4 linked regions of the Struthio camelus genome follow. The protein of the gene in region 1 interacts with the protein of each later gene in a pairwise test. Links are inferred from orthologs where the notes say so. Each region holds a gene or a part of one and is shown in the gene's direction. Other genes may lie near its edges. The genes, in order: ATXN3, ARHGAP19, DNM2 and PHAF1.

Region 1 (8,013 bases):
CTCTCCAAGTGTTCGACCTCCAGAAGAACTATTCTGAATGGGAGAAGGGAATGCTTCACTAGCTAACCCAAAGGAAAAGTCTATTTACATAGAGCCACCTCTAACTTCTTACACTACTGAGAACATGGAGGAGAACGGCTGCTACACACTACCTCAAATAATGCTGCTGGTTATTAGGTATTACCTATCTTTTGATCTACCCCCTTTTAAACATAGGGAAAAGAATACTTTTTATTTGCCCCAAGGGAATTTTTTTAAAAACCTAAAAACAAAAGGGTAGAGCCTTTGCTACCCCTGGAAAAAGCTGCCACCAGAAGCGAGGCAGCCAGCAGCGACGCCCACCTCGGCGGGGACGGCGCGGGGGCAGCCGGGCGGGGCCGCAGGGCCCCCGGGGCCGCAGCCCCTCCAGCCCGGCGGCTCCGGCGGGGCAGCCCGGCGCGGCGCGGGCCGGGGGCGCGGCTCAGCGGCTCCCGCCCGCAGCCGGGCTCCGCCGCCGCCGGGCACCGGCCCGGCCCGTGGGGCGCCGAGGCGGCGCCGAGGCGGCGGCGAGCCCCGGCGGCCCGAGCCCTGCCGGCAACGCGCCGCGGCTCCCCACGGCGAGGACGCGGGCGCGGAGGAAGGGGGCGGCGGGAAACGGGGAAGGAGAACCCGCAGCGAGCGCTGGCGCCGGGCCCCGGCGATGCCCCGGCGATGCCCCTCCGGGCGGCCGCGGCCGCCGCTACCTGCTTCACGGGCCTCGGTCAAGCCCACCGGGGCGCGCGCCCACCGCCTCATCCGGACACGGCGCCATCCGCCATCTTGAGAGGGGCGGGGAGAAAAGAAGGAAGGGCAGTGCGGGGGTGGCGGGCGACACCACCGCCAGGCCGCCGCGGGGGGGGGAGGCGGCTCCTCCCCCGCTCCCCGAGCAGCCGGTGGGCTGCGCCGGCCTGCGCGCTGCGCCCGTTGCCCTTGGTGTGGCCGCTGCTCCGGGCCCGGCGGCAGCGGCAAGCGGTAACGGCTGGGGCTGGCGGCGGGAGGGAGCGGGGCGGGTTGCGTGGTGCCGGCGGGAGCCCTCACCTGCAGCGCCTCGGGGCGCTTCCCTGCGCCGGCGGAGCCTCGAAGGCGGCAGGGGCCCTGCCGCGAGCTGCGGCCCGGCCGGCGTCGCGGCTGGCTGCGGAGCGGCCTGCCTCCCGCCGCCCCGCGGCGCCCTTCGCAGCAGCGGCGGCGTCTGTGGCCGTCCTCGGGGCGGTACGGCTGCCGGGCTGTCTCAGATCGTCCCGCAGGACACTCATGCGGAAGGTTTGGGCTGGTGAGGTTGGAACAGGCTTTGCGGAGTTAACAGATATGTTATCTTGCTTCTCTGTCAATGGCCAAGTGACTGCGAGGCTTGTCTTTGTGACTTTTTACTGATATTAGGGCATCCATCTGCAGGATTTGGTACTGTAAATACATGTGTTATGTTTTGCAGGAGAGCAAATTTCTGTCCTTTTAGATTTGTTTTAATGGGTAAATTATTTTGCTGCTGTGGGTAGATTATTTTGTCACTATTTTGCCAATGATGCCTTAAAAGAGTCTACTCATCTCTAGCTTTAGGATAAGATCCTATTTCCCAGCACCACCGAGCTTTTTTGTAAGAATCCTGTGTTTGGACCTGAGAACAGCATGCACCTTGCATGGAGTGTTTAATGGCCCTCATGTGTTTATTATTCCATAGTAGGATCCTAGTACGTGAGAGTAAAGGCGCTAGGTATGTCGCAGTTGTCGTGTGCAGCTCTATCAGTAACTCTTCTGTGTTACACTTCTCTTTCTAGCAGTCATGGTGAATTTCATGCAAGCTGTGCGTGATCACTGGGTTCACATCCTTGTTCCCCTAGGATTTGTGATTGGATGCTATTTGGACAGAATGAACGATGAAAAATTGTCAGCCTTCAGAAACAAGAGCTTGCTGTATAGAAGGTTTGCTTATGATACCTTTTTAAAATATATATGTTCTGTTATTTTGCAAAGTAGATGTGCTTCTCTGTTCTTTTTGAGAGTCTCAAGTACAAAAAAAAGTCAGTAATGCTGTCAAAATATTAAGAGGAAGAAAGCCCTAAAAATTTCAGTCAACTTTCATTAAGAGTTTTGAGTGACTAATGCCTACTGAAAATCTGTGCTTTAGGGCCCATCTTAGTGCTATAAGTCATGAAAGAAAGTGTGCGCGATTCTGTCCATTTGACCTATTAGTTGAGATAATTGACTTAAAATTTTTTTAAATAAATGTTATTCTTGGAAGCAAGATAAACAAATGCAAGAATTAGTAAACGTTAAGACACTTTCATTTATGTCTAAGTAGACTTATGAAAAGGATGACTAGAAAAATAAATAGAAACCTAAATATGTGCATAAATAAGAAACTCATGTTGCTAGGAAAAAAATCTTCAAATAAAATTTAATCATTTACTTAACCACTATACTTCACCATTTACAGTGTAATTAACATGGCATATTAACACAGTCTTTGCTGCATAGAAATTGTTACTGTTCCTTTTTAAATAAAAGTAACATTGTCTGAAATACTACTAATAAAAAAGAATCTCAAAGGGTTGAAGTAAAAACACCACTTGAAACATTCTGTAAACTGTACTTCTGAAGAGACTGTTTAAGATGGATTTTTCTGTATACTGGGCCCGGAGAAAGTGTATGAAAAGGGGAGGACCTCCAAACCACTCTTCTCCTCCCCCCCTCTTCCCTTAAGTCCTTCTGGAAATGTTTTTGAGTCCTCCTATTTAGCTGCATTTGGATACCGTACCAAGTTCACTTAAATGCACAATACTAGAGCTCTGACAAACTTTACCTAACAAAATAATGTTAAATGTGATAATTGCAGGGGGAGGGAGGGGACAAATTTATAAAACATATTTTAATGTAAAGTAACTTATTAAGCTAGGGAAGTAGTCTGTAGGTATGAATTTCCGTATTCTCCGTGTCCTTGATTTTTCTACAGGTGGGAAAATGCAGCCTCTTGCATTTTTTTGTGTATTGAAAATGGAAAGTGATCTTTTTCAGCTTCCAATTAGTTTTCCATTTTAAGTAACTAAATATTGATTTGATATCAAATAATTTGGAAAAAGAAGGTATTTTTGCATTGGTATAAAAGGCTTTAGCTTTCCAAAGCTTGTTAATCATACTAACTGCTGCCAAGTGCTTAGCCATGAAACTGTGCAAACCTTATCTTGGCTCTGTCTAAAACTTCAGCAGAAGCAAATAGTACTTGGGTTTTCCTTTAATTTTAACCTTTTCAGTGGATTATAGTAAAATTATATCTTAAGTTTAAAAGTATGACATCATATATATACATAGCATGTATACATATATAGCATGTAAATACTTGTATAAATTTGCATCATTTACATAATTATCGTCTTTTTTTAAATTAACCCAGCTTCTGTATTTTGAATGTTTAACGTTTAATGTTAGCAACTGCTGTGTCTTTACTGAGGATATGACTATATACCCATGGTATGGGCTTGCTGGCTTACTGCTCGGGGAGAATTGAGATAACTAAATGTGCTACCTCATCTAGATCAGTTCTCTTAAATCTGTATAAGACTGCAGGGTTAACCAAACAGCAGAAAAAGAATCATGCTGCATAATTACTAATTCTAGTCTATCACAGACTGGAAGAAAAGTAGAAATGTTGGTATATATGGTTTGCAAGTGACTTTTTTTTACTCTGGTGTCCCATGGGCTAATAATTCTGAGTGAGAAAGTAAAGTAACACGCCCACTGCTCACGCCACTGTTATTAGCACTTTTCTCACTGCAGTTAGTGGTTAAATTGCACTGGCCTTTCAGTATGTTGCAAAAGCTTCCTCTGGTTTTGTTTGTTTGTTTGTTTTTCCCCAGTAAAGTAATGATGTTTTTCTATTCAAAAGAAATAAGGCCCTGTTATGCAAAAAGTTTGTTATGTTATTAGAGGTTAGGTGTTCGGTGCCCACGTTTGAACTAATTGAAGCGGACTCAAGCAGCTTTGGAAAGAAAAAGAGAACATTTACCCATATTGAAAGATTCTAAACTGACAACACAACACTTTGAAAGAAAGTCAGATTTATTCATTATAATTAATATATATTTCAGTCAAGGTTTCTATAATAATGAAAGCTTACATCAAGGTTTTCTATAATAATTAAAACTTACATTTTTTAGTAATTATCCTACAGAAATGATCCTAATGTTATTCCCCTGCCTTTCTTTTTCCTTTCCACACAGAGAATTGAAACCTGGTGAAGAAACTACATGGAAATAGAAGCTGCTGATGAAATGGGAAATATTTTCACTTGTTCAATCAACATATATAGCAAGTTAAAAGAACAGGATTACAGTTTTTATTCTTGAGTGAACGTATAAGGCTGCAGAAAGGAACACCTACGATTCATCTCTGCTAGTTTATAATTTTCAGTCCTCCTTTTTGAAAGATAATTACATGACTAGTACAAGTCCTGTTCAGAAACATTTATCCCCGGAAGTCATACTCTGAAAGAGGGAGGAAGACTTATGTAATAAAGAAAAACTATGCAAAAAGCATGTATGTCGTTATTAATTTGTATGGTGTAAAATTCATGTAGTTCATAGAGAGACAATGTTTAAAGGAATATTTAATATAGATCCAAAATGTGGTAGAGAACGTATTTATATATTTTTAATTGAAATCTGAACCGTTTTCTCTTTAGATTTCCTCTTTAGACATGTTTCTTTGGAATGTCAGCAGTGGCAATACTGTAGCTTTGTGATAGTGCAAGAGAACAGGAGAATGAAAAGGATTGACAGGCGGTAAGAGACAGCAGTGAAGCCGACTTCTCTGTGTGATTTCTAAATTTCTAAACCAAGCGAAATACGGGAAAAGCTTTCGAGGGCGCAGGGAGGTCGGGGGGCGGATCCCGGCTTCGTGCCGCCGAGGGCGCAGCAGGGCCTCCCGACCGGCAGGGGGCGCCCTCGTGCAGGCAGCGCTCGCACCGCCCCGCTGCCGGCGGCTACCGTGGGGGTGGGGGCTCCGCGCGGCCGGGCTGCGGCGGGTTGCCCGGTAAAGCGAGGTTTGATTGGCTGGGGCGGGTCACGTGAGGCGGAGGGTGCTGGCCGTTGACAGTAAACATGGAGTCTATCTTCCACGAACGGGTGAGTGAGGGGCTGTGGGAGGGGAGGGTTCCGCTCCGCGCGGAGCTTTACCCACCCGGGGCCGGGGTGGGGGGCAGTCGCGGTGTCGCCGGGCCCGGGGGGTGCTCCCTCCGCGGAACTGTACGGGGTGGCGGGCGGGTCTCCGCTCCCGGCCCCGGCTCCGGGGCGGCCCTCGGGGCGCGCTGCGGCCGGGCCCCCTCTGGCGGCAGGGCTGAGGCGGCGGCTCCACTCCCTCTGCCTCGGCGGAGAGCTGGGCCCCCTCGCACCGCGCTGCCGGACCCTGCGGCCCGGCTTGGCTCTGCGAAGTCTTCCGGCTCGGTGGGAAAAGGAAACGTTATACTGGAGATCAAAGAAAGCCAGGGCCGAGCCTCGACGTTTCCTCTCACCCAGTGACTTCCCTTCTCGGGCCTTTGAAAGTAGACCTCCGCTACGGGGAAGTGCAGGCTAATGCTGTTCCTGTTTCTTGAGAGAGAGCTTCTGCGGCTGAGAAGTGAGTGTGAGGGTGTGTAGCCTGGGCAGGCAGGACTGTTTCTGACTCTTCCTGTTATGTTCTCTTTCCTCTTCACTTAGCCTGCCTTGATTTGAGTTGTGTGAAGAGCAGGGAAAGAGAGTGCTGTTAAGGATTTCCTTAATCCATGCTAATGCACTGCTAATTCATGTGCAGTGCTTCTGTATGCTAAATAGTGTTTCCTGATTTGGAGGAGAAATGCTTCCATTAACTCTTGTGGTTTATCTAGGTTCCCAAATGCCAACTGTGTGTGCTACAATGCTGTTGGAGTACTATTGTCTTCCTCATATGCTTTGCCAATGTCATAACATCTTTATTGTGTTAAGATTAATGCTAGTTCTTATACACTGTTCTCAAACAAGCTAGCTGTATAACTGTATAAAGCAAACTTTAATGTTCTGGAATTTGTATAACCTGAGGAGTGTGTTTTCACTGGATTTGGATAGCAGAACTTTGCAAATGCTTGGGGTGTTAAACTGCTGCTGCTCAGGGGATAAGTATTGATTTCAGTCATTACAGCCTGTGTTACAGTGACCTTGAGTTCCAGTCCAGATTTGAAAATAATGAGTTCAAATCAAGTGTACCTTTCTCTTATGTAGCCTAGCCTGTCACCTGAGGAAATAGTAACATAAAGTGTTTTTGAGGAAATTGCTTTGTTGATTTTGAATAATAAAACTCTGGTAGAGTTAAAATGATAGAGCATAATACTGTCAGAGTTACAAGTTAATTGTCATTTGTAGTTGCTACAAGTTCTTATTGAGGAGTGGTTTTGTTTGTTTATCTTAATGTTCTTGGGACGTCTTGCTTGTGAATGGTATGCAACTATGCTTTAGCAAGTTAGTTATCCAGTTATTAATGTTCCTGGCTGTCTGTTTTAAAAATACTTGGCACTCAAATTCATCTTATTTTGTTATAATTACTATTCTAGGGAAAATTTGACTGAACTACTATGTCTTTTTTCTTTTTTTTTTTCTTAAGTGGTATTTTTTTTTCCTGAGTGCACTACAAAATATTGAGCGTTGAATGCCTGTGTGCATCACTTGTACACTTCAGAAGTTTTAATTAAAAAACTGAGGCATGAAAAAAATGACATTTTTAAAGGGATACCTTTAACAAAACAAAGACCTAAGCAATGTGACTTTTTTTTTTCCACGGGAGAATGGCAAATGCCCAAAGTAGGCCTCCTCCAGGCTTAAGGAGCCACTTTCTTAAAATTCGACCCCTTCTCTTACATGATACAAGTGGTTGAAAACACCAAAAGCAGGGCAACAGTTTTATATCGAGATAGATCTCAACAAGGAGATTTAAGATTATGGAAAAAGCATTGTGTTCTCCACACACAAAAAAACAAACTTAACTTTTCTTACAAACTGTAAGATCAGTTTTGTCTTCTGCATTTACCCTTAATACGTACAAATCATGCATATGAAAAATTAATGTATGTTGTCTTAAGATAAAACTTTTTCTGTACAAATATAGAAATGCCCTTTCAGTGAAACTGGATTTAAACACTGTCATACAACTTGTTTTCAAAGACTATAATCTCTCTTTGTTCCTAAATCGGTTTCAAGTAGTTTTGGTGGAGAAACTTGCAATTCTTAAGCAGGTTGCTCTGCTTTAGTTTTATCATATGACCAACAGCAGGGATGTGGTCTTGGAGGATGCGGTCTTTCTTGCAGTGGGAGAACACAAGCTGCGGGATGGTGGAGAAGGTTTCTGAATTCTGTTAGACCCCAGCTGTACACCCAGTCCAGCCTTAACTCATTGCTTAGTTGAGTGATAAAGCCCTGGGAAGATTTTGTAATCTGGGGTAAAGGAAATTTTTGAGATTCCTGCTTTAAGGGATGAACCATGGCAGATCTGTGCATATAGCTTGAATGAGGCTGTCATAGAAGTTTGAAGAATATTCCTACAAGGCATGCCCTTGGTACTTGGGATTTTGGGGGTTTTGTTTTGTTTTTTGTTTGGTTGCGGTTTCTGTTTTTATTCTTCAAAGTGCACGTACTTTAAGGTAAACAAAAATAGGAAGGATTAATTAAAATAGCAAAGATGAAACCTAGATTTCAAAACTGATGTGAATCTTATTTTGCACTTGCAGTTTAGTTATTTCTTTAAAAATAACGGTTATTGGCTACTAAAGTTTTCCTTTTTTAAGCAAGGTAGCATTTTTATCTGCACTAATTATGAGAATGAAAGAGCGTGACGTACATTCAGGTTTTTTTTTTACTTATCCTACAAAATAATAACTGTCACTTCTAATTTATTCATTTTTAATTTAGATTGATAGTCTAAAAGTGATATATTACATTTGTGTTATCTCCAGGGCGCTGGATACATAACAAAGTATGTAAAATGCCTTGTCTTTAAATAGTT
Region 2 (7,909 bases), on another chromosome or scaffold:
AGGAGCAGATGAGGAGATGGCAGATGTGCTGCAAGAAGTGGGCCTTCGCAGTGTGAGTATGGGGCTTGTGATCTGGAGGGGATGATGGGGTGGGCTTGGCTGGGCTGCGCCCCTGTCTGTGCTGCAGCAGATGCATTTCTGACTGAGAGGCCAGTGGGGACACCGGGCAAGCAGTAGCTGCTTGGAGAAGATGAGGATGGCCTGGGTCAGAGGACTTGCACAGGGAGCCTGGAAGGCCTTGGGTCCCTATGGGAGGAGGAGGCAGAAAGCTCTTTTGCCTGGTGGAGATCGCAGGTCTGTGGGAGGGCAGGACAGTAAGGACAAGCCAGTTGCAGGGTCCCCTCTTCCTCTTTCTGCAGAAAAAAAGCCAGAAGCGTCGATTCAGAGAGGAACCAGATGATGAGGAGACAGAGTCTGGAGCCTACCCTCAGTACAGAGGTAATTCTGTCTGTGCCTGGTCTGTGGCTCTCCACGGAGCCAGAACCATGTACCGTTACTGCTGGGCTGCTGCAAGGTGGCTGGAGTCGAGGTTTTTGCTTTTGTGTGAAATTGTCCCACTTCTGTGCTTCTCTTCTCTCCTCGCACTTAAGAGTTGGAGGCAAACAAGGGAGCAGCTCCCCTAGCCCTGGTTCCCTCTTGTGTAAGAGCTGGGAAGGGGGAGCCTGGCCCTGGCCCTGAGACCCCTTCCTGAAACACACATTCCCTCTTTTCCAGCTGGAGGCTCTGGGATCCACCGGCAGCTGGGCAAGGAGCCAGCTTTTGGTGCAGAGTACAGATCCAAGGTGAGGGCCCCAGGGGGTCGCAGGGCTTTGGAGAGGGGTGCCTTGGGCTCTGCTGGGGCAGGAACTCCCATCAGGGATGCCCTGGCAGGGCAGACGCAAGGTTGCTGTTGGCCTGGGGGGACAGGAAGCGCTAGCTCTTTGCTGGGGTTCGGCCCAGCGCTGCTGAGGCTGGGGGGTATCGGCTCCGAGGGGAGTTGCCAGACGCTTGGTTCGCGTGAATGTTTCTAGCTCATCTTGTCCTTGCCGTTGTCCTGCCCTCGCTGTGCCCAGTGCCTGCTCGCAGCAGGTGTCTGGTGCTGCATCACAGGGTGGGAAATCTGGCCCTAAAGGCCTTGGCCTCAGTTGGCGTTGGCAGTGCACCAGAGCCTGCATGCCAGGGTTGCCCCAGAACGGGTGCAGGCGTTTCCTTTTGTGCTGCGTCTTCTCCCATGCTGGTATCTCCCACAGAAAGGCAAAGGTGATGTGAAGAAGAAGGGCCAGCTGGACCCATACGCCTACATCCCCCTGAACAGGGCCAAGCTCAACAGAAGGTAGGTGGAGCTGGGAAGGGCACAGGGTGGGGAACAGGGCCGAAACCAGGGTTCAATCCTGGCTCTGCTTTGTTACGGTTGCCTGGGGGTCTGGAACCTCTCCACTGGCCTCTATGCTGCCCCTTGCAGAGCTTGGAGCAAGCCTCTGCGTTAGCCGGCGGAAGAGCTGGCTGTGCCCAGTGCCTGTGCTAACCAAGCCTTGTTCCTTCCTCCCCCTAGGAAGCAGGCAAAAATGCAGGGTCAGTTCAAGGGCCTGATGAAGGGGGCCCAGCGAGGGGCCCAGGCTGGCCGTAGGAACCGTCTGAAGGACCGTCGTCCCTGAGGAGCCTTGGACGCTGTCTGCATCTGCCTGAGGAGTGACAGCACCCAGTCACATCTGGGCACCAGGGGACAGAGTCTTGTGTGGGGACGAGTGGGGAACTCCTCTGCAGGAGGTGGCGTGTGCCTGCTTGAGCCTCCTGGGAAAGCCACCCCATTGCATTACGGGCTCGTGGCCTAAGCCCTGTCCTCCCGCGCTGGGAGGAAGGCAGCAGGTTGCCTGACACTGTGCCCCAGTGACCCTGTTTGGTATGTGCGTGAGAGCAAGTGGTGTGTAATGAATTCTCTGCAGTGATAAATACCCACTGTTCCTACCCAGCCTCGATTCCTCCTGTCTTTCCTGTAGGAGCTGTACGCTCTGCCAACTCTTTCTTGTTGGCTGAACTACTGCAACCTCACTGTGCTGCCCGTTCTCTTACCAGAAAAGCTGAGACAGGCCCTTTCCTCTGCTCTGACCACCTCTCACCAACTGGACCTGACCAGCACAAGCAGTCCTGGATGTTTAGCTGCCCTGATGTTTCAGGTTGACCTGAGCATCCATTTTTACCCTGTTACGGCTGGTGTTGGCCAAAGGGCCCTGGAGAAAACAAGGATGGAGCTGAGGACAGTGGATACGCTACAGCTCTGGGATGCGGGTCCTGTGGCAAATGGCTCACACTGTGAAGAGCATGTATTTATGAACGTATCTGGCTTTCCTTTTTTCTTCTGTATTAAAAAGCTTGTAGTCCTTTGTCATTTCCTATCGTGGTAGCTTACATGCTGGAACTATAATGCTTCACGATCTCATCATAAGCTAAACGGATTGTGATTGTTCAGCCTCTTACTGCAGGCTTCTTCCTGGAGGTTGCAAATCCAGTTTTGTGGCTCCTTTTTGTGCTTTTTTTGTTTCTCAAGATCCTTTTAAGAGCCTGGGTGTGGAGGAGGAGCTCTTGTGCTACTACTGTTGCTTGTGCCTTGCCAGGAGCGCTCTCTCCTTCCTGCTTCTCCACCCAGGGATCTCACTGGACCTCTGCATGCAGGGTTGTGTGGAAGTGCTGCTGCTCTAATCCTGCCACCTATTCACTGTTGCTGACCTGAAGGGTCCCATTCCCCCAGTTTTGGAACTTGCTTTGCGTTTCTTATTCCTACCTGGAAATACGGTGTATGGGTCCAGTCCTGGCTATCCTGTGGGGCAGCCTGTGTTACTGCCCCCAAACTTCTTTAGTGGTGCACCAGTCTTTACAGTCTTGGCAGCGAAGATTTTCATTATCTGACCTATGCTTAAGTGTTGCATATTAGCTGGTCAAGAACATAGGACAATTTTATTGACAAAACTCATAGGCTGTTATAGCCTAGATGTACTCAAATCCTCCTCCCACAAGGGAAGAAAGCCTCAAGCCAAGGAGGAAAAGTTGTACTCTAGGGAGGAGGAAAAAATAAAAAAAGAAAACCCAGACATCCTGGAGATGGAAAGGCTCTTCCTGTCTCCCTGTGCCAAGGTCCACTCTCCTGCCATGTCCTTCCCTGCCTGCAGAGCTCTGTGATGCTGATTAAAAACAGAGCTGGGGAAGCAAGGACCCGTCCTGACAGGAGCGGAAGGGACCGCAGCCCTGGCAGCCTCCAGCAAAGCCTCCTCACCGTGCTCAGCTCTGTATGACACACTCATGAAATCTCAGGATGGGGTGGGGGGGGGCAGACAGCAGTCACCTTCCTGCAAGCCTGGAGGCCTGAAGGAGAGACAGCCCACAGCCAGAGAAAGGACCAGTAGCTGAAACTCCTGCTCCAAAGCTGTGGTGTGTCATCTGTGAGGGCCGACTATGGCTGCACAGATAGCGGTGGCTGGTGTTTCTGCGTGCCCCAAAGTGCCATTGCATGAAATCCAGATAAACGACAGCCAGGAGCAATGGGACTGAGCCAACCCTGTGGGGGAAGGTGTCCTGCCCAGAAAATGCCCGCTCAGACCATTACACCAGGGTCTGTGTTGGCCAACACCTGTAATACGTGGCTCCAGGCCCCTCAGAGCTACCTGTCTTGCTCTTTTCTATCTCTTTCTTCCTTGGAGACGGGGACTGCAGACGGCTGTAGCTAATTCATTTAGAACCTCCAGATTATTCACTGTATTGTTCTTCATTTGCATGTTGTCGCTTAAATTAGCGGTGCCTGCCTGGAACAGAGGAGTTTCATTCGCGCGGAGGATGGCGTTCGCCTGAGCTGGTGTCCGGAGAACAGCTTCTTCTGCAACAACACCTTGTTAGTCAGCTAATTAATCATGTAACGCAACAGCAACCCAGGGAGGGGCCGTCCTCGGGACGTGGCCCCGAGTCCAGCCCGCTCCCAGGCCCAGCCGCCCCCGGCAGGGAGCAGAGCTGCCGGCCCGGCTCCCGCTGGAGCCCAGCAGCGGAGGGTGACGGCACCTCTCGCAGGGGCTGGGCACCCATGTTTTGTGGATACCCCCAGAGAAGCCCGAAGCGGGGGGGGAGGGGGGGCTGTGTGGGGTCTCTCATGGGGCAGGAACGGGGGGCATCCCGGCAGCAGATGCAGGTGGGCCGAGAGCTCCTTTTCCATGCAGCATGGTTAAACCACAGAACTGCTTTGTTTCATGCTAAAATGCTTGGCGGTGAGATAACTTAAGCCTGGAGGTTTAAAATGCCAAGGGACAGCTGAAGCTGAAATCCAGTCAATTAAAAAAAAAGTCAGTTTAATTTCTAGTCCCCTCAGTGCTCTGATCTGCAGTTTCCCTTTTTGTTCCTAAAAAGGGTTGTTTTTTTTTTCTCTCCTTTTCCTGGTTGCTGCCTGAAAGCCTTGTGCAAACCGCAGTGGAGCGAGTGTGCCAGGGCAGAGGGCCACTGGCCCAGGGCAAGGTCGGTACTTCCACACACAAGGGAAGAAACCAAGAAACAAACCTGCTTCTGACGGTTTATATTTAAATATAACTTAAGTTTAAATTAATTTTCACCGACTGCGCGTTTTGGGGAGGGGGAAGCCTGCTCAGAGGGGCCGGGGCCGCGAGGAGGGGGAGACGAGCCCGCGTGGAGGCAGGCGGGCGGGCGGCGAGGGACGCCGGCCGGGCGCCGTCCCGTCCGGGCCCGCGCAGGCCCCCGGCCACGGCGGCCTACAACTCCCGGCATGCTGAGCGCGGCGGCGGCGGGCGGCCGTTTCCCTCCAACCGCCGTGCGCGCGGATCGGCCGTTGCCCGTTCGAACGGGCCAATGGCGGCGGGGCGGCGCCGGCTGCAGCCAATGGTGAGCGGAGGGCCGGTAGGGGCGGGGCCTAGGGGGAGTGGTGCGGCGGGCCAATGGGGAGGCGGGGCGGCAGGTATGAGATGGCGGCGGGAGCGCGGGCGCCTGGGGAGCGACGCGGTGGCAGGTAGGAACAACGGCGCCGCCGCCTCCCCCCCCCCCCCCCCCAAACCGGGCACCGGCGCCCTCTTCCCCCCGGCCCGTCCCCCCAAGTTCCTTGGCGGCAGCAGTGGCCGCTCGCTGCCCGGCCCTCGCCTGTCCCACGGCGCTGCACTGCAGGCGCCGCACGCTGCGTGCGCCGTCCCGGCGGCAGCGGGTCGCCGGCAGGCGGGCGCCCCGCAGGCCGGTCTCTCTCCCTCGGCCCGCCCATTGCGGCGCTTCCCCTGCGGCGCCAGGATCTCGCCCCCCCCCCCCAGCCCCGGGGTTGCTGCAGCTCGGGGGCCCCGCGGTGCCGGTGTTTCTGCCCGCCCGTCCCGCCCCGGCGCTGCGCACCCCGAGCGTGTCCCTGCTGCACTGGCACCCCCCCCCCCGCCCCGGGAACGGACCGTGCCGTGCCCCCAGGTACCTCACTGGTCCTGCGGGGCAGGTTCGGGGGTGATCAGGCTGGGTCCCTGTGTGAACCCCCGGGCGGGTTTGCTGCGCTTGGGCTCCGTCACCCCAGGACCTCGGTGCTGCGGTCCCCCCGTCCCCGTGGGGTCAGCCTGAGCAGCTGGGCAGCGCTTCCCGCAGCGTCCCTGCAGTGCGTTGCAGGGGGCACAGACCTCCCTGTCCCGGAAAGCCGTGCTCCAAACCACCTACCGTGGGCCGGAAGGCTGTCCTCATAGGGAAGCGTGTCCCTGCATTGAAGTCAGCAAAGGTGAAAGCCTCCCTTGCAGCTCTGCTCCTGCTCTGATGCAGTCACTCGCTGCCTGCAGAGGCACAGGACGTGCTGTGGCTAGGCTGGCTCATTTCTCCTGCAGCCGCAAACTGCGACATAGTACTGAGTGCTTGGCAGTTGCACGGTTTGGTAGGGTGATGGCACTATATAGACTTGTTTCACAGCTAAGCCTTTTTCTCCCTTGCTTTGTCTGCTCTGCACACATTACTCTGAATTTCCAAATACAGGTACCCTGTAAGGTCAGCATGATTCACCTTTGTCACATATTTTAATATGCCTAACTATTTTGTAATGGCTGCCAGTAAAATAGTGGCAAATGTATAAGCATGTCACTGGAACAATATTCTGGGATGACTGCCGAAAGGCTGTAGCATCTCGCCCCCCAGAATGTGCGGTGAGGTGCTGCAGACTGAGTTTTCCTTGGCTGGTAATTCGTGTGGACTCATGAAATAAATGGTCTGAAGGGTGATGCCTTGTGCCTGACCTGACTCACAGCGGTGCTGTCCTGTTCTCTGTGGAGCAGGACCCATATCTGATGGCACTTGCTCATCACGTGGGGGACCTGCTATGGACCCCCAGAATGGGGGCCAAGCATTGCTCTGATAGGAGGGAAGCGTTCTGCTCAGTGCAGCACACTCGAGCAGGGAGCACCTAAAATGCTGTACCTGGTAGAGGGTAAGCGCACTTTGTGGAGGTGATGCTTGGGGTGCTCCTTGGTGTAAAGCATTTTAAATGTGTCCTGGATCAGTATGAATGATTGAATTTCTTTGCTGTGCAATGACAGTTGCCTTTAGGATGCAATCCTCCAGCTCTATCTACCCTCTCACAAGCAACTGTGTTAAAGCAAAGCCTGAAGTACAAGGTTTTTACTCCAGCACTTTGTCACGCACAGATACTGCTAGCGACTTCATCTCTTAGTTTACAGGTCTACCACTGCAAAGTATTTTTAGAAAAAAGAAAAAGAAAAAAAGCTACAACCTTTTTCTTTCACCCCATCTCCTCTCATCTGGAGAGAGGCACAAGTTAGCTAGTAAAGCTCACGTGCTTTGCGTGTGGTCTTACAATGTGCTGACTTAGAGATTGAAAGCTGGTTGTCTCAACCTCCTTACCAAATGTTACTGAACATGACAGAAGATGATTTGTGCAGATGTCTCTTCTATTTGTGGTGACTCTAACCTCTGCCTGGCTCTTCATGACTGAGAGCAATGATTGCGGTGTGCCTGAGTGCTCATTTCCAAAAAAGGAACATCTGTCTGTTTGAATGCATTTGATATTTGAGTCAAGCAGTGCCTAAGCGCTTTGCCAGGCACTCAGCATTCGTGTTGGCCATCTCATATGGCAATGGTGAGATAAGTGGAAGAGAAGGAGCTGTGGGCCTGGAAAGCAGGATGCACTAGAAAAAAGCATCTTGCTAAAACGCCTGGAAAAGTGTCACTGAACAACTGGACAAGAAGAGTTTACATCTTAAATAGGCGATGAAAGGAGACATAAATGCCATCTCTATTTTACTACAAATAGAAATATGTTCACTGCAAACATGACTTAGTGGCAAAAAGTCAAAGTGCCTTGCTAGGGTTACACAGGAAAACTCGTTGATTTTTTGAAGTAAAGCCAAGTCTGAACAGATGGCTACTTTTCTCAGAAGACAGCCTGAAGCATGGGATGATCTTATTCAACTATTCCCTTCTCCACAGCTCTCAAAAATCTCTGAAACCTAGACTTGCATTTAATCCTCTGCTCTGTCCAGCCCTGTCAGGCGTGCATCCAGACTTGAACACAAGGCTAGCTTGCATTTGCAGTATCTTTGTATGTCTGCATGTAACGCTCCCTCTTGTTCCCATCCAGGGCCTGGATGGACTTGGACAACAGGATCCTTGTTCTGCTACGCTTCAGCGTATTGTCTGTTTGCATGAAGGGGGAGCATTGCTTGCCCACATGTCCCAAAGCAGTGTCTGGGTCTCATTGCCAGCCTGGTCATTGCCTTGTTGCAGCGTGCACATTTACATACATATGAAAATGTCACTAGGCTTCGTTAATGCTGCTTTAAAGGTGCCTGGGCACTCAGTTCAGTTTGAAACTAAAACTCCCTTGTGCTGGAGTCAGCTCTGGAAATCAAATTCCTTGGCCCCAAAAGCAATAGTCTTCAGTACATGGTAGTTTAGTAAGTCGTGCAAACAGAAGGGA
Region 3 (8,024 bases), on another chromosome or scaffold:
CCCCGGAGCGGGGCGTCCCCGGCAGAGCCGGTCCCCGCGTGTTTGGGGTCTCCCCGGCTGCAGAGACCCGCCTGCCCCCCTCGCCGCCCGCGGCCCAGACCGGCTTTCGCTGCGGCCCTGGCCTCGGCCGCAGCTCCCCAGGGCCTGACCGAGGCGCTCGCCCTTGGCCGTCCCCCATCGCTGGTGCCAGCGAGAGCGGGGCGGCCTCGCGGGGGGAAGCCGGTGCCTTGCCCGGCCTCAGTTTCCCCTCATGCAATGTAAGAGGAGCTCTGCCCTTCCTCCGAGCGCACCCAGGATTTCTCACCATAACCTTGAAATAACCTTGCCTGGAGGGCTACCTAGCCCCAAACACTCGGAGCAGGTACTAGCTTAGAGAGTTATGCATCAGCAGCCAGGCACTTGAGCCGGGTCCTGAAGGGGGGGGATATTAAGGCCAGGTAAGGGCCAGGTGCCCCCCATCAGGTCGTCTGAGGGTAGCGTGGGTATAAAAGGAGGATTAGCTGCTGGGGAACAGCTATGAGGGAGCATGTGGGGAGCCTGAGCTGTGGGAATGGTCCCTGTTTTGGTATAAATCACTGTTCCTGTTTCTTTAGATTGGCAGAACATCATTTCCCCCCTAAATAGCTTTTAGTGTGAAAGAGGAGCGCGTCCTGGATTGGTGCGTGGGACCCGGTCGGTCTGAAGTAAGTAACGTCCCTTGGGAAGGGTACTGGTTCAGCAAGGGGCTGGGGCGCCAGCTCCCAAAACTGCCGTAGTTTATTTAAGGGGAGCCTGGTGGAAAGCTTGTCGAGGCTGGGCTGTCGCAGGGGGCTCTGCCTACCCATGTCAGACCTCCTTTGGAGGTGCGGGACCTCCATTAAACACCTGGTGGTAAGGGGGAATGGGGGCTTTCTCCCTAAAGCAAGGAGGTATGTGCCTGAAAACGCAGAGAGGTGACATCCAAGGGGCTCAGAGGAAGCTTTTCCCTTGTGCTCCAACTTCAACAGCTGTTAGTCTTGCTTGTGGGGTGGTCCTATATAGCAGCAGTATCCTGTTACAAATAAGAGTTTTGCATTTAAAATGCTAAATGGAAAAAGCCTTCAGAAATGACCCAAAAAACCTTCCTCCTCCCTAGTTAGCAGGGTGCCGGTGGGGACTCTGGCCGGGGCCAGGCGCAGACCCGGCGCGCACCGTGCCGAGGCGTCCCGCACCTTTCCCGGCGGTGCCGGGTGAGCCCCGGCCGAGAGCCGCCCGGCTGATTCCCGCGCGTCTCCGCGAAAGCGGCCCCGTGCCTGCGCTCTGCGGCCCAATTCGGCCTCAGCTGCGTGGATGCGCCGTGCCCAGCGCGGCTGCGCCCGAGCCCGCTTCTGCGGGGCGCTCCGGCTGGGGCGGGCCGAGGGATGCTGCAGCCGCGGACGGAGAGCCCGGCCCTGCTGCGGGCACGCTGCCGGCAGCCCTGCCCTGGAGCCCCTCTTTGCCCGGGGTGGGCTGGCGGGGGCACGGATGTCCTGCCGATGCACGTGTCGGAGCAGCCGGCAGCTCATCCCGGCCCTCCTGGGGCGGGGGGGAACCGCACAACTGTGCGATGAGCTTGTTTCCAGCGTTAACTAGCTGGATGAAGGATGAGCGCTTAGAGAAATTGAGCCGTGCGACAGCCTGGCTTGGATCGAGCTCCAGCTTTCCCTCCTCTGGGCTCTTGCAGAACAAGTCTCTCCCAGAGCTGTGTCACCTCTGCGAGCAGAGCCTGAAGCGGTCTGGCCTGCTCGCAGCTGATCCGTGTGCCCCTCCATCTGCTCTTCCTCCAGAAATAAGGCAAGGGTTTTCTCAGAAATCTGCCGCTGGAAATCTGGTAACAGGCTTGCTTAATGCAGCAAGGGATTTAATTAGTTTTTCCCAGAGAGAAGGAGAGGAAGGGGAAATAGTGAGCAGCTGCTGGCATCTCCGTCTGCAGCCTCCCGTGCTGCCCCTCCCTCCTCATCGCTGGGGACTGAAAGCTGTGCTTGTGGCTTGGTGCATCTGCAGAAAGCGGTGCCAACAAATCCAACCTGTCTCCTCTGCTTCGTTGCCTCTTCTTTCCTCTCCTCCTCTAGGAACAGAGTGTTCCTTGCTCCGGTGGGGCAGCTCTCTTGTGTCCAAGCGAAATGGCTGAGCCCAGATTATGGTAACGCGAGCGGGTTCGAATAACCCGCTTCCGTGGAGCGCAAACGGGCTCCCTCAGGTGAGCGGGGAAACGGATCTCCCCTGCCTCCGGCCCGCCGCAGCCATCCGGCTCCACGCGCGTGGCCGGAGAGGGGCCCTGCCCCGCGGGAGGGAGCAGGGCAGCGCCGGCCAGCTCGCCGGGCACCCTCGGGTCTGACCTTGGCTAGCGAGCGACGGGCAGCCTGCCAGAGCCCCCGGGACGCGCGGGTGGCGGCTCTGCCGGGGGCGAAACCGGACCGAGGATTGATCCCGCCGCTGCTGTAAATGGCTGGGACGGGGGGCTGCTGCCTGGAGGAGGCCGCAGCTCCCCTGGCTGGATGGGGGCTCTGGGGGCCGTAAACGACACGGCGTTGAGTCCGAACGGCTCTTATTTCTCCGCAGAGGGATGATGGTGCAGTTTCAGCGAGGCTGCCTGATCTCTCCAGCGAGAGGAGAGCCTTGTGGGTGCAGCCGGGCTGGCACCAGGGCATATGGTGCCGTTCGCAGCCCTGGGACAAAGGCCTCGTGGTTTGGGGATGAGTCCAGCTTGCAGCCTGTGGTGTACGAAATGGAGCTGGAGGAGGAATGGTTCTCTGGGCATCCCTGTTTCCCCCCCCCCCCCCCCCCAATTCCTTATGGCTAGGATATATAGCCAAGATGTGTCCAAAATTTGCAGCATCCCTCCCTGGCCCACCTGACATGGTGGAGAGCCAGCATCTGCAACGGGTGCAGCCTTGCTGGCTTCGGAAGAGCGCCCACGGCCTGGGATGCGGCTGCGACCGGGCTGTAGAGCTGGGTAGCCAGGATGGCAGCCCCTCACCCCCAGGAATGGGGCTGCATCCCTGTCCGACGCCGCGCAGACCTCCTCGCGGGCTGGCTGGGATGGCTCCGGCCGAGCCCAGCGCTGAAGTGACCAGCAACGTGACAGACCCTGTCTTGTCCTTCCCTTCCGCAGCTGGAAGATGAACACGGTGCACGACGCGCGGACCGAGGCGCGGGAGCGGCCGAACCGGCGGACGGTGGACCAGCTGAGCCCGGAGCTCCGCGTGGAGAAGTACATCCTGCTGAGCATGGATGGGAAGCTGCTGGGACCGGAGCTGAGCCGGATCCGGAGCGGTAGGGCCGCGAGGTGCTTGGAGGAGGGAGGATTGCCCTTAGAAAGAGGGATACACCCTGCTAGTGTCCAGCTGGTTCTCACTGAATCCCTGCTGGTCTGTGCTGGGGAAGGTAACAGGGGCAGATAGCCCTCCCAATCCAGCCTGGAGGAGGTGCCGGCCCGCTGGACTCAGCTTTCTCAGGGTGTTCTGGTCCCACCTGGATTTCGGAGGCCTCTATTGCTGGTCCTGGCATCCTGAAATCCAGGTGCTGGGGCTCAGCTGCTGCCCTGGGGATGCCCAAAGGCATTTGCAGTGTGGAAAGGGGTTTTTCTGCTCCCCAAGTCTGACATGAGCATCAAGACGCACAGCAAGACGCAGTGGGGTGGAGGCTCACGGTGCCTTTGCCCTCCCTGCCGCAGAGATGGCCCTGCCCCTGGAGCGCCTGGATGCTGACCTGCCCCAGGACCTGCCCGCGGGCTACCTCTGGCGCCAGCGCCGCTCGCTGCCCACCTTCCCCCTCGCCCCGGGGAGCGGCCCCCAGAGCCCCGCGGACCTCAGGTACATGGCGCCAGGACGGAGAGCGCCGGTGCTCCCCGCCGGCTCGTGCCGGGGGCCACCTCGGCCAACTGCGCCGCCGTCTGCCGCGCTGCCTCCTGCGAGGGCTTGGAGCCTCCTGGCACTGGGACTCGTCGTAACCTATGCCCGATGCCCCGTTCGCGGTGGGGCAGGCGAGGGGTGCTCAGCCCATCCTTCTTTTCCAGGAGAAGCTCGGACCTGCTCTGCGCCGGCCAGTTCCCCGCAGGGCTCAGCGACCTGGTGACGGGCATGCAGGCCCCTGCCTCGCCGTGCCCCCGGAGCCGTGGCAGCCCGCGGGCCCGTCCCCGCTCCTCCCTGGCAGCGCAGGCCTCCCGCGGACCTCCCGCCACGGCGGAGGATGCTGCGGGGAAGGAAGGTGGCAGGGAGTGAGGGGCGTCCGAGCCCTCGGGCCAGCTGTCCCCAGCGGGTGCTGGTAAGGAGGTGCCGTGGCGGGGCTGTGATGGGAGGATGGTGCAAAATAAAGACTCTGAATGTGACCCCAGGCTGGTGTGTTGGTGCCAGAGAGGACTCTGAGCGTGGCCCGAGGTGGCTGCGCTGGGGGGTGACGGTCCCCAGGGGAGGGGGGTTCCCCTGGCCCCAGTGCAGCCTCCGGCCCTCGCCTCGGAGACATGCGGTAGCAAGACATGGGCTTCTACACGGGGACGTACGGTAGGGGATCTCCAAACGTCATTGGGCTGTGCCCGGGAAGGGAGAAAGCGGCAGAGCATCAATGGGGCTCGTGATTGACGGCTGGCTGGCGAATCATGAGCGGCTTTTCGTCAGGGAGTACCCGCCCTGGGTTGGTCAGTCTGGTAGACTGGCAGAGGAGCTGTCCAATGACAAGGGCGTATGGGAGGGGTGAACAAGCTAGTTTCCTTCGGGAAGCGATTCGCTAGCTTCCCGGAGTGGCAGTCCTCTCTACCAATAGAATGGCAGGAACAAAGTCTTGGGGCGGGAGCTGCCGCTGTGCCGTCTCAGCTGACAGGCCAGCTCCACCTCCCATTGGCTGGTAGGAACGAGCGACGCGTTGGGAAACCAATGAAAAGGGAGAGGTGGGGCGTGGCGACCCGCTCCCGCCTTCCCTCTTGAGTGACAGCGAAGAGCTCCGCTCCGCTCGGCCGGCTGCTCTGACTGACGGCTCAGGCTCCCAATGGCGGCGCCGGCTGAGGGGCGCGGGGCGGGCCCGGCTGAGCGGCGCCTCCGGGGGTGTCGCCAGTGCCGGATGAGGAGACTCGGAGGGGAAGTTTGGTCGCCGCCGCCGCCGCGGACTGTGTAAGGAGGAGCCGCCGCCGCCGCCGGGAGAGCGGGGCCCTCCGCGCCGCCATGGGGAACCGGGGCATGGAGGAGCTGATCCCGCTGGTGAACAAGCTGCAGGACGCGTTCAGCTCCATCGGGCAGAGCTGCCACCTCGACCTGCCGCAGATCGCCGTGGTGGGCGGGCAGAGCGCGGGCAAGAGCTCCGTGCTCGAGAACTTCGTGGGCCGGTGAGTCCCGCCGCGCCGCGCCGGGGAGGGGCGGGCGCCGCGTACGCAAACTGCGTAGCCGCCCGCCCGCCCGCCGCCGCCGCGCGGCGCAGCTGGCGTAAGCGCGCTTGGTGAATCCCGCCTGCGTAAGGCGGCTCGAGGCGGGCGGGGGCGCGAGCGCCGCCGTAGCAGCCCCCCCTCCCCCCCCCGCCCCGTGCCCGGCCACCGCTACGCAAACTGCGGATCATCCCGGCAGCCCGGCCCTGTGCTACGCACTTGGCGTAAGGCGCGGCCCAGGGGAGCGGGTCACAGGCCGGCCCTTACGCCAGCGGCGCAGGCGGGGGCTCGGGCCGTGGCGGGCGCGCGCGGCGCTGGCGCAGGGGAGCTCTGTGAATAGCGGGGGGCTCCGCCAGTCCCGGGCCTCTGTCGCCGTCGCCTGCCCGGTGCGGCCCGGCCCGGGCCCGGGAGCAGAGCGGAGCGGGGTCCCCGGGCTGGGGATGCGCGGTAACACCGGGGGGAGGTGCAGGGGTGTGGAGGGGCTGCGCTGGGCCCCGCCCGGGGACCAGGACCCCCCCAAAACACACACAACAGGCCCTACCTGGACCCCCCCCCCACTAGGCCCAGGACTCCCCACTAGGCCCTGCCTGGTGCCCCCCCCACAGGGCCCTGCCTAGGCCCCCGGGACCCTCACCAGCCCCTGCTGACTCAGTAGCCGTGCGTCCCCCCCCCCCCCCCCCCAACCCCGTCCGCCTCCCTGAGGCCTGGGGCAGCCCGTCCCCGGAGCTCAGCAGCGCGGGATGCCGCGAGCGCGGCCGCCGCAGCCTTCCCGCCGAGCGGTGCCAGGGCCTCGCCGGCTCGTCCTGACGGCCGTCAGCATCCTTGAGTTCCTGCGCGGGTGCCCGGAAGGCGCTCCAGAAACGCTGGGCTGACCTGCGGAGTGCAAATGTGTAAAGCGGAGACAGGGGAAGCCCAGGCTTGATCAGAAACAACCGGCACGGCATCCCGTTGCGATGCTTGACAAGAGACCTGACAGCGTTAGAGCATGGTCTTGCTCCGGTTTATAATTTTCAACATGACTGTGTTAACTTACAAAGGTTAATGCTGAGTTGCATCCTAAAGACGCTTCTGTTTCCACTCTGATAGCCTTAGGCCTGGAGTCATCGCTGCACCTGGGTTTGGGCGGCTTTCGTGTTTGGTGCCGTTCAGCTGTGTGCCCTTGTGATAGGGCTGAGCTCTCTGCCAGGCCTCTCCCAGGAGCGGAGGGGTGTCAGGACCCTGCTGTAGAGCCGGTCGGAATTGGCAGGATAAGGGATTGACACGCGGCCTGGGATGCGCTAGGGTGGGGAGGAGAGCGTGGCTGTCGAGATAACGTGGGGGAGCCGAACGCTCCTGATTTTATATTGCGCTAAGGCTGTGGGGTTTAAAAATCTTTCCGTGTGCTTCATATGACCCTGCTGACTCTTTCAAAATCCGTGGTAGCTGCTAACAACTTCCGCTTCTGAATCGAAGCGCTGAGAGCGGAGGGTAGAAGTCAGTCCTTCGGCCTTCTCCACCTTTTGTCTCTGCCGTTCTGGGGATGGCGGCGCCGGTCCTGCAATTCATAGCGCAGCGCAGGGCTGAGAGCTGGCGGCACTCAATGCTGCTCCGTTCCTGCGTGCACTTGTTCCACGCTCGGGGTAAAGGATGTTGCTTGACCCCTTCTGCTTTGTTCCTGTGCTCCGCTTTGGCTTGATCTAGGCTTGCAAGCTCGCTGTAGCGCGGGCTGCTTCTCGCCGTGCCTAAAAAATTCATTGCACAACGGGGCTCCAGTCGAGGCTGGGGCGGATGCCGTAATAGCAACAATAGCAGATTTCCGGTGATGTCATTTCATCCTGACACTGGCCGGCAGGAGCGTGCACGGATCTGCTTCTCCGTTGACAACACAACAGCGACTCGGCCCTGCTCTGCCGTCGGGTCTGACGTAACGGGATACCGTCCTATTTCCACACAGCCGACCAAGTGTCTTTTCCAGCGCTTTAGATTTGTTGGCTTCGTGGTCGCTGTGGCTTCCTTTATCGGTAGAGAAGGGATCTTTTGAAAGGCCTGCGTGAGTTTTCTCCACTGTTGTGCTTTCCGCAGTTCAAATTTCGGCTTACTTAACATTTTCCTAGAGGTGAGGTCAGGATCCGGAGCCTGCTCTGTGATGCATCACCTGACACAATTTGCCTTTTCTTTTATACTCACAGGGGTTTAATTCATAGCATGGATTTGCAGCCTGCAAAGCAATTGAGGATGCCTTTTGAGCCCGTTGTTGTTCGTGTGGGAGGGAGAGGAGGAGTCAGCTGGACCAGGGCAGGTCTAACTTTGCCAGACTAAACTTGCATCTGGGCCGATGAGTTCTGCCAAGTCTCTTTGCAGTTGGGGTTGAAACGGTCAAGTTGTTACCCCTCATAAATAGCTGCCAGTGGAAGTTTTGGCAGCCTCTAATTATGGTGCTGCTGGAAAACCAGCCTAGTAATTAAAAACCTTTGTTTCAGAGCATTTAAGTCTTTGTCAGAAGGCTTTCACTAAGGGGTTAACCGCACTCCACAGACTCCCTTTTCAAAAAGGGTCTGAACGGGAAGGCTTTCCGTGGGACTTGATCTGTGTGATTTTCTCTGTAACCTGGAATATTTCACTTATGTCTCACGGCACTAACTTTGTTCTGCCTTGATGCACTTGGGTTAATAATCAGGTAACTACGTATGCAGTA
Region 4 (6,894 bases), on another chromosome or scaffold:
AAATTGCCAAAAGCAGAGAACGGGCTTTTTGTATTTTGGCATGTTCCTTTTTCTTTTGCCGAGGTAGAAAGCTGAATCCTGTTCTTTAGTTTTTTGGTTACGGTTCTTTTTGAAAGTTGGAACTTTCCAACGTATTTCACTTGGATGCCATTGCATTGATTATGTGGGGTGCAGTAAAGTACATGTGGGTTTATGTTATATGAGAAACAATAAATTTTGGGCTAGATTAAAACAAATATTTCAATAAATTCTCATCCCCATATAGATCAATATGGTCCAATTTAATTATGTGAGCATGTTTTCAAGGGAAAAAATGTTCTTTTTGGCCAAAGCAAAAAAGTGAGTGGCTCCAGCTAAATCTATCTTGAAAAGTCCCGCTGAAAACGTTCCTCCGTGAGAGCAACCAGTGCTGTCCCAGCAAGGCGGACCCAGACTGGTGTGGAGGTGGAGAGGAAGGGAGGGAGATTTTTTCAGGCAGCGTGAGCGAAGCATGGGGCTGGCTTGTTTGCACAGCCACCAACCAGGCAGTGGGTTGTTGTCTCTCCCAGGGAGAACAATTTGCAGTGGCAGGAGAAACCATTTTAAGTCCACCCACTCTGCCATGCGGCGCAGCAGGACGAGGCGGCACTGAAACGTTGGTCAGCTCTGGGCCTGCTACAGCCCCCACGGAAACCACCGGGATACTTGGAGCTGCATAAGGAACAAGAGTCACTTTTTTCTGCCACGGGCTTACCTTTAAACCAGAGGGGTACACATGTAAAAACATGCAGGATGGTACCTTTGGGAATTGTGTTTCTGGTGTGGTTGGCAGTTTGCCTTGATGGGCAGGTGTGGTGCAGATGTTAGCATGCAGGAGAGGCCAAGAAAGGCCTTTTAATTCCTGCCAGCTATGGAAGAGGAACGATGTTTTTCTGTTATAATCAAGTCCACACATTCTACTGACATTTGGGGTGGATATTTTTGTATAACGGCTGGGCAAATTTGCTCCAAAGAGATTTTGCAGGCTTGCACTTTCCACTCTCGCCCCGCAGCTCTTTGCGGATAAATGACCTGCTGCGATTGCTTCCCTGGGGCCGTCCGCGCCCCTGAGCAGCTTGGGTCTCCAGGTCACTTCAGTTGTTCTGATCCTTATGTGTGTTTTTGGAAAAAAAAAAAAAAAAAAAAGGCAGAAACTATTCACAATACAGTCTTATGATCTGTCTAGACTATGACTTCATCAGTGTATCTATTTAGAGGCGTGATTTTATACAGGAGTAGCAGGACCAGAAAGAAGATGTTCCCTCCCATTTCTGCCTTTTCCTTTAAGGCACTTGAAAAGAATATAGCGTTTTGTTTCCCCTCAACCTTTTATACACAAGTATCTCGAAGCACTTTAGAGAGTAATGAGATTTTGGAAGTCAGGCAGGAGCTGTGTAAGCAAATGGCAGAGCTATTACAGGCCAGGATCAACCTCTCAGACTTGGCCGCTAGTCCCTGTTTTATCGAGAGGCTCTTGGCCCAGCTGCTGAGATTATCGCATTACTCAATTCAGAACATGTGATGAGCTCTTTAACACAGACAGCCCCAGAAGGGACAGGAGCTTCGTGTCTCGTCCGGAGGACGGCAACTTCCCACGAACCGCTGAGCCTCCTTACTGCGTGTCAGGGGAAACTTTTTCGACACAAAAAAAATCCCCAGTTCATTTCTTTTTACTGGCTTGTCCTCTTATAATATAATGGACGGTCTTGCTGTCAGTGAGTGCTTTATCCCGGCTGACTGTTTTTCTGGCCCGCTTCCAGAGGAAGGGAACTTTGCTTGTGCTGCGTGTCTGCCGGCCTGCCCGGCCCCCTCTCCCCACCATACCTTCTGAACTGGTTAGCCGACGTCGACTAAATCTGACACAGACAGGAGAGGTCTCCAAGCCGTTAAGGTCTTAAAAGTACTGGAATATGAAATGGCTTGGCGGAAGAGGCAGCCGCGATTCAGAGGCTCTGCAGCAAGAGGGGCTGCAGCATGCGCTCAACCTGGCTATTAGACAGCAGAGAACCCATGGAGAAGAGGCAGGTGATGGACGAAACCCATGGGAAACAGGCTTCCTGAGTCCTGCGGTCTCCGAGCAACGTGTCTCTCTCCACCGTTAGCCCTGGGTTGTCCTTCTGGTTCCTTTTTACTCTGCTTTCTCTTGAAGTGTCTCCCCTACCGTGAGTGTGCTTGTTCATGGGGAGCGTCCTGTCTCCTTTGGTTTAGCAAGCTGGTTCTCCTGTTTAAAGGAAGAAGTGGGGAAAAAAAAAAATTCAGAAGTCCTAAAATTTAATTCCTCATATGTTGTGACCTTTCTGTTTCTTCTCTTCTCCCTTAGGTCTACTGATACAATCTCTTTTTTTAAAAAAAAAACACAACAAAAAAAACCCCCTCATCTAAAAGCATCTTTTTCTCTGTCATGGATGGTAAACCCGTCTTCTCAAGGGCCTCCTCCAGGCACGTGAAATCCTGGTCGACGTAAGGTCAGTAAACACCCCGCATCATAAGTAGGTTTTCCAGGAAAGTTTGTTTAAAACAAACAAACAAATGAACATTTAAGGGAAAGACGGGCCCTTACTGGGAACAACTTCTTTTCTGGTGCACCGTCCTCTAACCAAAGAGGTGCGAGAGACGGGAGAACTATCCTCACCATCAGGTCCTTCAGTTTATCTGCCAGCCGTTACCGCGTGAGGGCCCCGGCTCGCTCGGTTTCGTAGCCCCGTTGCGCGCCGGGGTGGAGCGCGAGCGCCGGGACGCCCGCCGGCCCCCTGCGAAGCAGCTTTCCCCACCGCTAAGCGCGGCCCGGGCTGCGCAGAATTAACCGGACGTGTCGCTTTTCACCCATCGAAGAGCGCTGGCGGTAGGAAAAAGGTGTTTTCTTACCCCGCGTTAGCTAATACGCGGGTAACTAATGCAGCCGGCGCCGCTATCCGGCTGGGGCCAGGAGGCCGGCGGCGGCTGGGCGGGAGGGTGAGACGCGGGCGGGCCGGAGGGGCCGGGGAGCCCCGACGGACGCGGGAGAGCGGCCCCGGGCACCCGCCTTTGGGTGCCTCGGGCCCAGTCACGGCGCCCAGCGGCCCTGCCTCGAGGCGGAAGCGCCGTCTCTTGGCTTTCTTGCAGGGCGGGCGCCTGCTGGGACGTGGCGCGGAGGTGAGGTGAGGGGTCCCCCGCCATGGGGGTGGCTGGGGGGGGGGGGGGGGGGCGCCCGGCCGGCCGAGGCAGGGCTCGAACCCGCGGCCTCCCACCTGCCAGGCGGACACCCTCCCCCTCCCCCGCCGGCGGGGGCGGGGCGGCGCCCCTCCCGCGGCTGCTCCTCCCCTGGCCCCTCCCCCTCCAGATCCCGCCCCTTCCTTGGAGCCCCGCCCCCAGCTCCCTCCCTCCCGTCGTCCCGCCCTCCCCCCCGCGCGCGCGGGCTCGCCTGACGACAGCTGCAAAGCACTTTTTCAGCAGCCGCAAGTGAGGTGAGTCGCAGCCCCGCAGTGCGGGGGGCGGGGGGCGGGGGGGATATAACCCCCCCCCTCGGCGGGAGGAAGGCGCTGTCGGTACGTCCGGGCGGAGCGGGGGCTCCCCTTCCCGCCGGGGGCGGGGGGCCGGGCGGTGGCTCCCGGGGCCCGGCCGAATAGGAGGAGTGGGGGAGGGAAGAGAGGGAGCGGGACGGTGGTCGGGAGGGGACAGAAGCCGCGGGTGCGCGCGCGCGCGCGGGGCGGCGGCGGGGGGGGGCGGTTGCTATGGTGACGGCGGCCGGGGGCGCCGCTGTGACTCAGCGCGGGGCCCCGGGCCCGTCGGGGGGGGGCGCCCCCCCGCCGCCGCTTCCAGCAGCTTCCTGCGGGCGGGGGCCGGGGCCGCGCTTGGAGCGTCGCGCCGCGCCGGAGCGGCGGCGGATGGGGCCGGCGGGCGGGGGGCGGCGGCGGCGGCTGGACCAGGCCGCAGGCCGTGACCCGGCGGTCCGCTCCCCCCGCAGGGCCCCAGCGCAGCGCCTCGGTGACCTGCTGTGCGAGCCCTGGGCCTCGACGCTGGCAGAGCCAATGCTAGATCTGGAGGTGGTGCCCGAGCGGTCTCTGGGGAACGAGCAATGGGAGTTCACCTTGGGTAAGTCCGGGCCGGGGCCGGGGCGGCGAGAGCCGGGGAGCGGGGAGGCCCGGAGCCTGGCTTGCTGCATCGCGGTGGGCGCTTGAAGCAGCTCTTGAGCAGAGAGCCTCCTCGGTCACGTTTTGCACACCGAGCCGTGCTACCGGCTTGTGTACTTCCTTCTCCTCACTCTCCTTCTTATCGCCGTTTTAGACCGATCTTTTCATTATTATTATTTTATTTTTTTAAATAGCTCCCCAAAGAGGCGACACGGATGTATCGGTCGTAATCTGAAAACTCTGGGTCAGGTGATGTCAGTCTCTTCAGCTGTGTAGTAATACTTAGCATAAATACTGCGCTGTTCTGCCCAAGTCCTTTGTAAATACGAGCGGTTTCACAATTTCTGTGTTACTGCTGGGTTGCGACATTATAGTGAAGAAAGTGAGCTTTTTTTGAGAGGTTTTCCCCGGGTTAGATAAGCATTTATCCTTCCAGTGATTCTCTATACCCTTATTTTTTTATTTCTCTGAAAGGTGCTTCCCTAACTGTCATTCCTCTGTTTAGTGCAGTGAGAAAGAAGAATTTTCTCCCAGCTAATGTACATTTAGCTGGTGCCCAGCCCGGAGCTCTTAAGCACAGAGTTGAATTTTAGGTAGCACAAATTCTTCAGATGATCTTATTTTCGAGCCTACGTTGTTAGTCCTTCAAGTTTCCCGAAGTTACAGTAGCTGTCCTAATTTTCACGGGATTGTTTTGGATTTCAGCATTTGACTCCTTTTCTGGCGATTTTTCATCTCTGCTGTTGCTCTGTCTAAAGCACAGTTAACTGTGATAGTAAGATGGCTAAGGAAAATAGGGCTCTGTGTGGCAGCCATTTGTCTCTGCCAGAACTTGAGTTACGCTTTTATTTCTGCTGCTGTTGTTGTCACCTGTGATAGCAGGGGGCAGGCTCTTGGATGAAAAACATGCTCCGTGACCAGGCTCCGTGAACTTTAGTCGCACCAAAGGGGCAGTTACAGAGTTCTTTATATGAAACCCGGCAAACCCCAATGGCTGTTTACACCTCCCTGAATTCAGAATCAAGTACAACTTGATTGTTAATGGGAGTGTTAGAAAGGCTTTTGGAGGCTAATAATAGTACCTCACATCCCACCCTTTGAAATCTTTGGGATCTCCTTATACCACTAACATGTTACTGTGCTCCCTCAACTCTGCATGTCCTCCTGTGATCCTTTATTATCTGTATTACCTGAAAATAAATCTCAAATTCTGTGCCCTAGCGATGGTTGTAAGTGTGTAGTAGTGGCTTTCCCTCCCTGCCCCCTGATTCTCCCTATAAAAACAAAGAGAGAAGACAGTTTTCTCCTTCCCAAGGAGCCCGTTAATGCAGTCTTACGATTAAAATTATATACTGTGTATATGTGTACACACACATGCACATAGATGTGAGGGAGAGGAAGCTCAGCTGTAATTCTTGGAGTAAACATAGCCACCACGTGACATGTCTAATATATAATTAGCATGACCTGCTTGTATAGAGCAAGGGACTGACTAGGTACTAAGATACTTAACTCTGTCCTTTGCTAGCAGTACTGTATGAAAATTCCTTGCTGATAAAAGCTGGTTCGACTGCGCTGGTGGTAGTGAGGTTGGAAGCCTAAGCATAAGTGGGATTCTGGCTGCCGGGGGTGTACTACTCATCATTTGTTTAGATCTGCTCTTAGCAAAACTAATGGCAGTGTTCTTGAGCTGCTGCTGACTCTGGCTTCCAGTCTTGTACCCACAATGGAGATGCCTGAAGGGAATGCCAGGAAAATTTTTTACGTGAGTTTTTTGGGTTCTGTTTCTCGCTCCAGCATTGACTCATGATCTGACCAGAGCATAAAAAAATTTAACTAAGACTGAGTTCTGTGTTCAATTAGGTACCTGTGTCACTGCCATCTCTGAGGCTATGTTCCTGAAGTTTCAAAGAGGGAGAACAATTAAATACTTATTTTGTACTGCCTCTGGTTGTGTTATTAGCAGTAGACATGCTTACAGTTTCTAAGACATGTTTACATTTATCTTGCTTTTTATACTTTCCAACTAAGTTTGACTCCTTTCTCTTTTATTTTAGTTATGAAACCTCTTCTCTCACGTTGTTGTGTTGTATTCTTTTTTTATTATTCTTTATTCACTTGTCTGCTCCCTGCTTTTAGTCAAAGGGATAAAACTTCAAGACATGTTTGTGACCAGTGTATGTCAGAGGAGTATCTTGTATCACTCCAGGATTCAGAGAAGGGGAAAGGAAAGTATGTGACAGCAGAGTACTAGACCTGAACTTTGTGGGCTTTACTTGCAATAGCTTGCTTTGGCTGACTGTCCGATATGTTGGAAACCATGTTTGCTTCCCAGTTTCCCCCAGCTCATAAGCAGGAGAAAAACATTCTTTGTCGTCGTCTTTGGCTGCAAAGACTGCTCACTGTTGAGGAAAAGGAGGTGTTTGCATGTATGTGTGAGAAGGGTGGAGGAAAAATAACCTAGCTTCTTTGCCCCTTCTTTGGCTCTCTACTAATGGAGGCAAAGGGAGGATATTGGCTCTTCTACCTATGTTTTAGGTTCTTTGAACTATTTTTGGAGAACTTGCGTTGCTATTCATAGCTTTGCTAAGCAGTCGTGTAGGAAAATCAGCTTAATTCTCAATCTGGGAAAACTGAATAAAATCAGTCCGTCTCCGTTTGCTTGCTGCTTGAGAAAGCTCTGAGTAAGAGAGTCACGTGAGCTATCTGTTTGCACACTCAACGAACCCAAGATTGGATCAGTTTACATCAGACTACAAACTGGACT

Evidence for each region.
Region 2: the proteins of ATXN3 (region 1) and ARHGAP19 interact in binary tests that used the Homo sapiens proteins (3 or more experiments, as listed by UniProt). The link is inferred for Struthio camelus from reciprocal best matches to the Homo sapiens genes ATXN3 and ARHGAP19.
Region 3: the proteins of ATXN3 (region 1) and DNM2 interact in binary tests that used the Homo sapiens proteins (3 or more experiments, as listed by UniProt). The link is inferred for Struthio camelus from reciprocal best matches to the Homo sapiens genes ATXN3 and DNM2.
Region 4: the proteins of ATXN3 (region 1) and PHAF1 interact in binary tests that used the Homo sapiens proteins (3 or more experiments, as listed by UniProt). The link is inferred for Struthio camelus from reciprocal best matches to the Homo sapiens genes ATXN3 and PHAF1.

What each region holds. Positions count from the first base shown.
Region 1 is NC_090946.1:65,726,972-65,734,984, reverse strand, and holds the start of ATXN3 (ataxin-3), read left to right. Parts: upstream 1-4,976; 5' UTR 4,977-5,108; coding exon 5,109-5,132; intron 5,133-5,522; exon of another isoform or gene 5,523-5,622; intron 5,623-8,013. UniProt on the Homo sapiens protein: Deubiquitinating enzyme involved in protein homeostasis maintenance, transcription, cytoskeleton regulation, myogenesis and degradation of misfolded chaperone substrates.
Region 2 is NC_090948.1:16,953,455-16,961,363, reverse strand, and holds the start of ARHGAP19 (rho GTPase-activating protein 19), read left to right. Parts: upstream 1-4,896; 5' UTR 4,897-4,904; coding exon 4,905-4,975; intron 4,976-7,909. Other genes in the region: RRP12 (RRP12-like protein), read left to right, coding at 3-52, 360-438, 715-782, 1,230-1,312, 1,532-1,634. UniProt on the Homo sapiens protein: GTPase activator for the Rho-type GTPases by converting them to an inactive GDP-bound state.
Region 3 is NC_090972.1:4,735,709-4,743,732, reverse strand, and holds the start of DNM2 (dynamin-2), read left to right. Parts: upstream 1-5,009; 5' UTR 5,010-5,153; coding exon 5,154-5,314; intron 5,315-8,024. Other genes in the region: uncharacterized protein, read left to right, coding at 1,565-1,791, 3,113-3,273, 3,674-3,812, 4,016-4,220. UniProt on the Homo sapiens protein: Catalyzes the hydrolysis of GTP and utilizes this energy to mediate vesicle scission at plasma membrane during endocytosis and filament remodeling at many actin structures during organization of the actin cytoskeleton.
Region 4 is NC_090951.1:21,617,138-21,624,031, reverse strand, and holds the start of PHAF1 (phagosome assembly factor 1), read left to right. Parts: upstream 1-3,848; 5' UTR 3,849-3,881; coding exon 3,882-4,089; intron 4,090-6,894. UniProt on the Homo sapiens protein: Plays a regulatory role in autophagic activity. In complex with BCAS3, associates with the autophagosome formation site during both non-selective and selective autophagy.